Macaca mulatta: one gene and its partners. The protein of the gene in region 1 interacts with the protein of each later gene in a pairwise test. Links are inferred from orthologs where the notes say so. Each region holds a gene or a part of one and is shown on either strand. Other genes may lie near its edges. The genes, in order: CTBP1, NOL4 and CRY2.

Region 1 (3,650 bases):
CGTGGAACACACACACAGAACACGCACATCTGCACCCGTGCACATGCACTCAGCACAATGCACGTGCACTCAGCACACAGAACATGTACACTCAACACACAGAGCATGCACACACATCTGCACCCGTGCACGTGTGGTCAGCACGCAGAACACACACATCTGCACCCATGCACGTGCACTAAGTACTCGGAATGTGCACACTCAGCACACAGAACATGCACATGCATCTGCACCCGTTCATGTACCCTCAGCACATGGAACACTCAGAGGACACGCACGTCCGCACCCGTGCACGTGCACTTAGCACACGGAACACGCACACAGCACACAGAACACGCAGACGTGTCTGCACCTATGCTCATGTACTCAGCACATGGAACACTCACAGAACACGCACGTCCGTACCCATGCACCTACACACGCACACGGAACGTACCCACGTGTCTGCACCCATGCGCACTCATTAGAACAAACTCAGGGCGGTGCTTGGCCGTCCTGCGTGGAGCGCACTTTGTTTTCTGCCAGGCTCCGTCTGTTGTGGGTTGTTTTTGTTGGTTTTTTTTTTTTGAGACGGAGTCTCGCTCTGTTGCCCAGGCTGGAGTGCAGTGGCGCGATCTCGGCTCACTGCTGCTTCCGCCGGTGCCCATGGGCCAAAGCCGTGTGCCAGCCGCCTCCCGCCTTTGTCTCTGTGGCGGCATCCTGGGAAAGGCCGGCTGTGGTGTCAGGCGCAGGCCCGGCTGTGCGGTGTTGGGTGCAGTCCTGGCTGTGCGGTGTCGGGTGCAGGCCTGGTGCTTTCTGAGCGACCCCTGCTGTTTACCATCTCCGTTGCCCATGGAGTTTCCCAGGCCCGGGCTCTGTTCTTCAGCCAGGGACAGTCTGGGGCACCGCTGGGATCTGGCCCACACTCCAACGTCCCACAGTCAGGAGGCCTTTCTTCCAATCTCGTGTGGTGCTTGGCTTGGCTCTCCCTCAGTCTCCCTTGTTTAACGTTTTTACGTCCAAGTGAGTTGTGTCTGGGGCGATGTGGGATCCCAGCCTTGGCCTTGTGCAGCGCCTGCCCGCGCTGCCCCACGTCAGGCCCCCTCCCGACCCTCGGAACCCCTCACGGAACCACACGGTCCTGTCCAGCCTCCGGGCATATGAATGCAGCCCTGTCCTGGCCTCCTGCCCCTTCCTCCTCCCCAGAGAGACGGACGGCCAGTTGGACGGCCAGTCACAGGAGTGCAATCATCTGAATGGGGCGGGAAGTGCCGTGCAGGGGAGGCGCTGGCCAGGGACAGGCCAGGGATGAGGATAAATAGGCTCAGGGAGGGGCCCTGGCCGGGGAAGGGCCTGCCTCTGGGACAAGGCTGGGAGCGGGCAGTAGGGGTTACACTCGAGAGAAATGGGATGGATTTGCTTTCTAGGAATGGCTCCAGCTGCAGTGTTATTGACTGCGGGGTGTAGGGCATGGAGGGCGGAAGGGACTGCGGGGGCCTGGCTTGGCCTGGGGGAGGCCTGAGGACATGTGCGGATGTCCATGTAGGGGTGTGCAGGTGGGGCCAGCACCCAGATTCTGACCTGGCCGCAGCCTCCCCGCAGGGTCCCCCTGGAGGAATCAGGGCAGCGAGGTGACGCGGGGAGACATGTGCTTGTCTCTGCCTGGGCTCCCAATGCTGAGTTGGGAGGGGTCAGGGCAGCGTCTCACGCCCTGGCCCCACCACACACCGAGCAGTTTGCGAGCGTGTGCTGCCACGTGAACCTAAAGTGGAGGTGGGGCTCCAGCCACAGGGCACAGGCGCCAGGCCAGGTGCTCTGTTGCCCCCGAGCCTGGGAGATGTGCGTTCATTTCGTGGCCTCCCAGGGTGGCCTTGGGGACGTGGCCTTTGGCTTCTTCCTCGGGAAGCTTCAAACCTGCTCCAGCCACAGTAGCCCTGGTGTCCTCCCAGAGGCTGGGCCTGGCCTGGAGGTGACCGCCGTGTCCTTGTCCCCACAGGCATCGCCGTCTGCAACGTGCCTGCGGCGTCTGTGGAGGAGACGGCCGACTCGACGCTGTGCCACATCCTGAACCTGTACCGGCGGGCCACCTGGCTGCACCAGGCATTGCGGGAGGGCACGCGAGTCCAGAGCGTCGAGCAGATCCGCGAGGTGGCGTCCGGCGCCGCCAGGATCCGTGGGGAGACCTTGGGCATCATCGGACTCGGTGCGTCAGCCACAGCTCCATGCCCGTGACCCTCCCTGTGCCTGGCGCTGCTGCTCTTCAGCCGTGCCCAGAAGGAGAGGCCCAGGGCGGGGCGGGGCTGCGGGTGTCGGTCCCAACCCAGGACAGGACTGAGTGCAGCCCAGGCGCCAGGGCCCAGGAATCCCAGGCTGTGTGCCCTACGTACGCGGACGTCACAGCACACGTGGGCCTTACACGGGCACACACGGATGTCACAGCACACGCGGATGTCACAGCACACGCGGATGTCACAGCACACACAGCCTCACACAGACATCACAGCACACACATGGGTCTCACACTGGCCTTCACAGATATCACAACACCACAGCACACGTGTGAGCCTCACACAGACAGCACGGCACACACTGACATCACACACGGACGTCACAGCACACATACAGGCCTGCACGGATGGCACATGTGCCACAGCACACGTGGCCTCACAGATGCCACAGTACACATGACCGCATGGGCACACACAGACATGACACATGGACGTCACAGGACACACATGGACCTCAAGGGCACACACATAATACACGGATGTCACAGCACATAGCCTCACACAGATATCACAATACACACGTGGGTCTCACACCGGCCTGCATGGACGTCATAGCACACACGGCCTGTACAGATATCACATAGAACACCACAGCACACATGGGCCTCACGCAGACATCACTGCACACACAGACATCATACACGGATGTCACAGCACACATGTGGGCCTCACACAGGCCTGCACTGATGTCCCACATGCCACAGCACACGTGTGGGCCTCAGACATCACACATGGACATCACAACACACACGTGGGCCTTACACAGGTACACACAGACAACACAGACGTCATAGCACCCACAGCCTCACACAGCACACACATGGGCCTCAGGCCTGCGCAGACATCACACGGACGTCACACACGTGAACTCCACACAGACATCACATGTGGATGTCACAGCACACACGGGCCACACGGGGACATGCAGATGTCACGGCACACATGGATATCACACGGCACACATGGGCATCACACGGATATCACAGCATACACGATACCACGTGGACACACACCGGTGTCAGTCATGGGCACATGGGCATACAGACACGGGCATACGTGTGGGCACACACATCAACCACGGTCTAGCACGCGCTCACCCCTTGAGGCCTCTGGGGCTGGCTGCGTGGATCCTGCTGGGGCTGGGGTTCGGGCAGCCGCGGGCTTCCTCCGCTGTCACCAGCAGCCGGCCCTGCGCCCGGGGAGTGGTTTGCCCCTCAGCGACCCCTTGCTCTTCATTTGCCCACTCGCTCTGCAGCCGCCTGTCCTGGGCCCAGCACCGTCCTGGGTCCAGCATGCAGCAGTGAGCAGGCCCCACACAGCCAGGCCCAGGTTGAGCTCAGAGCAGCAAGCGTGTGTGTGTGTGTGCGCGTGTGTGTGTGATCC
Region 2 (3,750 bases), on another chromosome or scaffold:
ACTAGCTTATTCTTGAATGACTACCCCAGGACCAATTATCTTTCCAGAAACTTCCAGGAAACACATGACCAATATCTAACTAAATCGAGCCCTAATGCCACAAAGGGAAACTTAACAGAGTTGTTCCTGTGAAGTATACCCCACTAGAAGGGTGGTTCAGAATATTCTTCTGTCCAATTGCGTGTTTCAAATTATTTATGTATTTAAGATATTGAGATTTTTTTAACGTGAAATATCTAAAGATTATTGTTCACCTCAATAAATTGAAAGTGATATTTTTCCCCTGTGTCCCTTGTATTAGATTCACTTGTGACTTATTGGACAGTGTCTTCTCTGAGCTCTATGGTCTAGTATGTATTGAACAAAAATTCAAGGACTGAGAACAACTGATTTATTTTAGTACTTTTTTAATACAAAAGAAGGAAATAAAAGAATAAAAGCAGTCGGGGTGGCCTCTGGAGAAGGGGAGCTGTTGTTGCAGGAATCTTGCAAGTTAATGAGAATTCACCCGGGACTCAAGAGCAATGGAGAGAGGGGGAGAAAGGAGGAGATGGGGGAATGGGGTGGGGGGATAAACTCTTCCTTTGCAGCTGGCCCTCTCCCTCATTTGTTGCTCCAATAAGCAGTAATTAGGTCCTGAGCTAATGGTGTCAGCTGATCTGCTGTTTTTAGGCTAGACCCAGAGGAATCTCCATGGAAACCCTGCTGGAGTCGTCCCCCCACCTGGATGCTGCGTGCTCCTTTCCGCCACCTGGCTGCCGTCGGGCCCGCTGCTACCTCCTCCTGCCTCTAACCTGCAGCCTGCAGCATGCGCACTGCCCCCGGGATCCCTAAATGGGACAATTCTGCCCGTGACGTCAGCGCCCAGCCGTCTCCACAGAAACTTTTGTCCCATTGGCCAATCAGAGAGCTTGGAAGGGGCCGGGGAGGGTGGGGGGAGGAGAGGGGAGTGGGAGGGGTGGGGGTGAGGGGAGAGGCGAGAGGTTTAGTGTGTGGTGCTGCCTGCGCTCCGCCCGGGCTGTCAGTCCCGGCTCCAGCCGCCGCGAGACCTTCCCGGAGACGCGCGCACACACAGCGCACCCCCTGCACACCGCACACCCTCGCTCCCTTGCTCACACACACGCACACACTCATCCTGGCCGAGCAGGAGCCACTGACCATTTTGCAAGTGCCAGGACCAGCTACAGCGCAGTGGGCGCAAACATCCCGCGTTCCCTTTCCGGGTTTCAGTCTGGGAGACGACGACGAGGAAAGAAGGTGGGCTCGGGCGCAGCCCAGGCGCCGGGCACTAGTCGGGCCGTTTTCCTGGCAGAGCCGCTCCCTGGGACGGGCGCGGGCCTCGACTGAGAGTAGAATAAAGAGGAGCGGCCGCAGCCGCCGCGCGAGGAGGATGGGAACTCCCCTATTTCCAGCTCTGGAAACAAATGGATGGAAGTCCTGAATGGAGCAACTGCTGACTTCATCTGCTTGGAAAAATAGTCCAGAGGAACTCATATTTGGCTACTCAGAGCAGTGGAGGGGGTGTCCATGACGTGGCAGGGGGAAAATAGGCAACTGAAACCTCCCGTGTGAACTGCAAACTGTGACCAAGCAAGGGGAAAATGATCTTTCTCTATATATTTTAATTTCCTGCAAAGGGTTTCAAGCATCTGCATCCTAAACTTACTTCTATGTCTTGTTCAGCAGAAACCAGAGGAGTCCTGTCTGGGGGTCCCATCATTATCCGGGAGACCCGCCACCAGCGGCCTGCCTTCCGTTACCCACATCCCCCTGGAACGGATATCTGTTTGGGGCACTACAATCTATCCTGTAGAACTATGGCCAAATCTCCATCAATGCTTTGCTAATTTCTGGGACTTAACTCGTAGAATCTACATACAGGGCTGGAATTTATTCCAAATGCATCTGAAGAAATGAGATTTTAAACCGTTTTTTAAAATATCTTCATAAAATAATTCTGTAAAACAGATTTTGATAGGTTTAAAAACATGACAGGTAAGAACTTTCTCTCTTTCTAGTCCCTTAACACCCGTCGTGGGGAAGGTCAAAGCAGGACCCAGGAGGAAGGAGAGATCCGGGACCCGTGTGCCCTTCGGGCTCGCAGGCGCTGGGCCGGCGGCTGCTTTCAGGAGAAGCGCAGCCCTCACTCCTGGAACACGGGGCCAGTGGCTGGGGAAGCTTCTGGGGCGCGCGCGGGGAGGCGGCGCTGCGCTCCACCTGCCCAGCCCCGGACGCAGCCCGGGGGCGAGGCGTCTAGGGACCACCCCAATTCAATATTGGGATTTTTAATAAACCAAGAAGTGGGATTTCAATTATTCAAAACCCAGCTTCTCTGGGCCAGAATGCTGTTGGGATGGTCCTGGTCACACAATATTAAAGAGACCGATCGCTAAGGGAACAGAAAAAGCGTCCGAGACAGCCGTTGCAATTACGAATGGACCAGACTTGGTAGCACAGGGCATTGATTGCTGGTGCCCAACCGGACCCTCCTCCCCTCTCCCCATCCCTTCCCCCACCCAAAGCAGGCTCCCGCGGCGGCCGGGACCTCGCATCCCTGCAACGTGGCCAGGGCTGCATTTTACATGAGCCCAGGGTGAACAGGTGCGAAGTGCGCTGGGAGCATCCGGCCGGCGGCCGGGCGCGGGGAACATGGAGAGCGAGCGCGACATGTACCGCCAGTTCCAGGACTGGTGCCTCAGGACTTACGGGGACTCAGGCAAGACCAAGACGGTGACCCGTAAAAAATACGAGCGGATCGTCCAGCTCCTCAATGGCTCCGAGTCGAGCTCCACGGACAACGCCAAATTTAAATTCTGGGTCAAATCGAAGGGCTTCCAGCTGGGCCAGCCGGACGAGGTCCGCGGGGGAGGCGGCGGCGCCAAGCAAGTGCTCTACGTGCCTGTCAAGACCACGGTGAGTGACTCGCCTTCCTCTGTTATTTGTCTGCCGGAGCAACCCGGCGGGGAGGGAGGAAGGAGAGAGGCGGGAGAGAGGGGGAGCCGTGAGCCGCCGTTGGCTCGTGTGCCCCCTACCTTCCTCAACCCCCTCCCCAAGTCGTCCCCACTCGCATTAGCCAGGCGCGTTTTCCCCACTGTGGAGTCTTTGTGGTCCTTTTATTTTAAAGCGGCAGCGCACCTCCAGAGCTGGCCTGCCTCCCCACCTCGGGCTCCCGGACCGGCTGCTGGAGCTTCCTTCCCCGGGTCGGGCGGCGTCTAGCGTCCCCGGGCTGGGCCATTGTCCCATGTCCTTCTCTGGGCGCCTGGCGCGTGTCCCACCGCCGCCACCGCGCATAAAGGCCAGGCTGGAAGCCCGGCCGCACGCTCTGAGAACAGACAAGTCTGATCGATAGTCTACAGTGTCTCCTTATTGGCATAAAGCCCGAATGTGGCGCTAGCGGTGGATGTGGGGTTTTCCCCAGGACACCGTCAGGTTTTATCGTTAGATCGCCGCCCAGGAGGCACGGGGCAGCCCGAATGCCTCGATCACTCCCAGAGATCGCTGCCGCGACTGTTGAGATTGTAGATAAGGTCCTGAGAATTCCTCCTCCCCGCCCCCCATTCCCTTCCTCACTTCCCTCTTCTACAAATAAAGCCGCAGCTAGAAGATGAACAACAAAGAGAGATGGGTTTAGGCGCTATCGAATGGTGTGTGTATTTGTTCCTCTTTCTGGGTTGGCTCTAGTCTCATGGCCACAAAGCTCTAGCCCAGGCGCCGTGAGGCACTGGCATTGAGAGCCCAGTGCATCTCAGC
Region 3 (3,750 bases), on another chromosome or scaffold:
TTGTCACCTGAGCAGGACCCTGTCTCAAAAAACCCCACAAAAAACCAAAAACCAAAAACCAAAAACCAAAACCAAAACCAAACAAAAAACCCCAAAACCTTAATGCCCAGGCCATAACCAAGAACAATTCTAACAGAACTGGGGGAAAGGGGTTGGGCACAGTGGTTCATGCCCTGTAATCCCAGCAGCTTGGGAGACCAAGGTGGGTAGATCACCTGAGGTCAGGAGTTTGAGACTAGCCTAGCCAACATGGTGAAACCCTGTCTCTACTAAAAATACAAAAAAATTAGCCAGGTGTGGCAGTGGCCACCTGTAATCCTGGCTACTTGGGAGGCTAAGGCAAGAGAATTGCTTGAACCTGGGAGGCGGAGGTTGCAGTGAGCCCAGACTGTGCCATTGTACTCTATCCTGGGCAACAAGAACAAAACTCCATCTCAAAAAAAAAAAAAAAAAGAATTGGGGGAAAGGGGCCCAGGCATCTTTTAAAGATCCTTATGGGATTCCAATACATAGCAGCCAAGATTGAGAACCACTGCTCTAGTCTGTCCCCTTATCTTATGTTTCTCATGGCACTTCGTTTCACTAAATTATGGTTGTTTGCTGGTCTTCTTTCAATAAAATGTAGGCTCCAGGAGTTCTGGAGCACAGACACATCTGTTTATTCACTGCTGTATCCCTAGCAACATCTAGAGCACTACCTGGCAGATATTAGGCATTCATTAAGTAATCAATTAATATCTGCATTCCTACACAGCCTCTGACTTCAGGATTTGACTCAGGCATCTAAGCCACATTCCTTTTCTCCTTCACTAGATTGACAGCACAATCACAAAACGATAACCCACAAAAATCCATAAACACCTGGTTCCTAGCAAACTGGAGTTTAATCAACGGGAATTTTATTGTTGATTTTTAATCTCCCCTATCAAAAAAGAGTAGGTAGTACTAGGCAGTGTCCCCCAAAACCCAATAAAAGAAGAAACTCTGTGACAATGTAACAAGAAGGTAGTCGGATTCCATTTGGCTGGCTCTGACTGGTGCAGGGCAGTCTGAGGCTTGGCTTAATGTCCACACTAGGGATGGTCATTTGATGATGCTTGTCAAACACAACCTCCTATCTGTAGAAAACTGGAGCAGAGACAGAGCAATAAGGCAGCCTGAAAACTGTGGGCAGGCTCTCCACAGGACTCTTTAATTGTTCCTTCTATATAAACTGGGCAAGAGGGGACACTGAACAGACCTACTGCTAGGAGCACTCACTCTCTTAGCAGGGTACACACCTTGGAGAGAAAAGAATGGTGTGCCGAGAGCCACGGTATCCTGGAAATAACCCTGTCCATCAGTGCAACAAGGCCACAAGCAAACATTCCCCAGAACAATGTAAACAAACCCAGCGACTGCCACTAGGTGTTCTGAAGAGCGATGGGTACATGATGTCTCAAAACTCTTTAATTTGAATACTGCTTACAAAGAAAATACATTAACGACCTGTTCATCTTTTTCCATGATCATGTCGACTCCATCTCCTGGGGGGTCATCAGAGGGGCCCTTGATATCATGGCTTTCCTGCTCCCTAACCTTAGCACAACAGTTCATAGAAGTCTCATCTCTAATGGCTCAACTGTCCTCTAAAATCATGACAAGAGGATGACGGGGTGACACTTTGGATCCTTTTAAATTTTTTTTTATCGAGGTCAAAGCTCCAGAGCAGGGCTTAAACCATTTTGGAGAATCCCCTGGATTCTCTGGAGCTTTGAACACAACGCGATTCCACCTGAAGACACCTTTGGCTTCTTTATTTATAACATAGGGGAGAAGACTTTATTTAATGCTAAGCCAGGGTCACCTGACACCCCTAGAGGCAGGACGGTCTGGGCGCAGGGAAGCCAGGATGGGTGGTAGGGCGGATTCAAACAAGCCAGAGGCTTAGGAATGATCTCCCCGAGCCCAGCAATGGGCTCTTTACTTGAAGAATGCGAGCAAAAACCCGTCCCGCCCTCACACCACAGTATCTCCCTTCTGCCCCTCCCTGAGTAGACCATAAGAGCCCTAGACCAGGAGCCCCTGTTCCGCCACTCACTGGCTGCAAGTCCTTGGACAGGTCGACTTTGGGTCTCCAGGACCCAAGGGTCTCATCTGTACAACGGGGATCATGATCTCCGTTCCACAGGCAGTTGTGAGGCTCAGAGGGGTAACAGTGCGAACGCGCTTTGTCAGAGGCTGAGCCCTGGCCCACCGGCGCGTTAGGACCATGACGAATTACTTCCCCGGTCTCGGCTTCTCCACGGCCTCCCAGCCGTGGAGAGGTTGAGAGAATCGTGCTGTTCGCCGGTCACCCCAGGGTCAGGGTCCTGGCTGCGTCCCCGCCACCCCGCCCCGGGTCCCCTCACCTCCATCGGTTGATCCCGACTGAGGAGGAGGCCGCGAACCACGGGTCGAGAATGTAAACGCAGCGCACGCAGCGCGCCCCGCGCACGGCCGCCAGCAGCGCCGGGTTGTCGTGGAGCCGCAGCCCTTTGCGGAACCAGTGCACTGAAGAGGCGCCGTCCGTGCCGGGCGCTGGCGCCGGGGCCACAGCTGCCGCCGTCGCCACAGTCGCCGCCATGACTGTCCAGACTGCTCCGGCCACCCCCGCTCCGCCCCGGTAGGCGACGCGGACCCCGCCCACAGACCGCCCAGTGACCTATGACGCCGCAGCTCCTCCCTTCGTCCCCGCCCCCAGGGCCTTAGAGCTCCTGTGCCATTGGCTGAGTGCCTCCCGCCCGGCGATTGGCCCAGAGACGCCAGAACAGGCCCCGCCCCCTCACGTTCCTACCATGTGTGGGTCCGCCTGGGTGGAGCTGGCAGGCGGACAAGTGACGCAGGCTGGCACAGTCCGCGGAGGGCCGGGAGTGGGCCGAGTCTCGAGGTACAGCGGATCTCTTACACATGTCCTGTTCAGGGCCTGCTTCTAGAAGAAGCTGCCTGGGCTGGTAGGGGTTGCTGTGACTACAGTCAGAGACTTGCAAAACTGACAACTGACCTTCCTATTATCACCAACATCGTCACCAGCATCATCTACATCATTCTACTACAACTGCCATTTATTAAGTGCACTTTATATGGCAAGAGACATGATCATCTCCTTACATAGTCGGTCTCATTTACTATTCTGAACTCAGCCCAGTTACATTCATTTAACGAACACCAGTGGAAGAGCTGCTGTTATTTTTGTTTTACAGATGAAGAAAATGGAGGGTGCCGCAGGTTGAGCGACTTGCTCAGTATCATAAAGCTACTAAGAGGGATTTCACCCAGATTATTCTGATTTTGAAACTTCTGCTTTTATCCACGAAGCTATACTTCTCTTTGTGCGAAGATCCTTGGTAATTCCAAGTGGCAGAGTCCAAGGATGGAGAAGGAGTGCCCTGATACGCAGCATTAGAGGATTTGGGAGTAGGGACTGGGAATGTGGAGGACTTGAGCTCGTAATTATGCCATCAGATGAATTTATTTTCTTTTAGTCTGTTTAGTAGATCCAGTGGTACTATTGTGTGCAAAGCACTGTACTGGATTCCGGGTGGGGTTCAGAGATGTGGGGGACACTGTCCCCATTCTTCTGGGACGCCAGGTGGAACCCTCTTATTCCTCTGGCGTCTAGCATAGAGCTTGCTGATTGACTGACTAAATGGCAAGAGAAGCTATAAACACCAGCAACAAGGTGTTGGGGAAGGCTAAGATGGCTTAGTCAAGCTGCAGCTTTGGGGTTAT

Evidence for each region.
Region 2: the proteins of CTBP1 (region 1) and NOL4 interact in binary tests that used the Homo sapiens proteins (3 or more experiments, as listed by UniProt). The link is inferred for Macaca mulatta from reciprocal best matches to the Homo sapiens genes CTBP1 and NOL4.
Region 3: the proteins of CTBP1 (region 1) and CRY2 interact in binary tests that used the Homo sapiens proteins (3 or more experiments, as listed by UniProt). The two-hybrid records come from large-scale screens. The link is inferred for Macaca mulatta from reciprocal best matches to the Homo sapiens genes CTBP1 and CRY2.

What each region holds. Positions count from the first base shown.
Region 1 is NC_133410.1:1,299,717-1,303,366, reverse strand, and holds part of CTBP1 (C-terminal-binding protein 1), read left to right. Parts: intron 1-1,975; coding exon 1,976-2,182; intron 2,183-3,650. UniProt on the Homo sapiens protein: Corepressor targeting diverse transcription regulators such as GLIS2 or BCL6. Has dehydrogenase activity. Involved in controlling the equilibrium between tubular and stacked structures in the Golgi complex.
Region 2 is NC_133423.1:58,247,859-58,251,608, forward strand, and holds the start of NOL4 (nucleolar protein 4), read left to right. Parts: upstream 1-1,376; 5' UTR 1,377-2,649; coding exon 2,650-2,913; intron 2,914-3,750.
Region 3 is NC_133419.1:19,770,759-19,774,508, forward strand, and holds the start of CRY2 (cryptochrome-2), read right to left. Parts: upstream 2,619-3,750; 5' UTR 2,606-2,618; coding exon 2,391-2,605; intron 1-2,390. UniProt on the Homo sapiens protein: Transcriptional repressor which forms a core component of the circadian clock.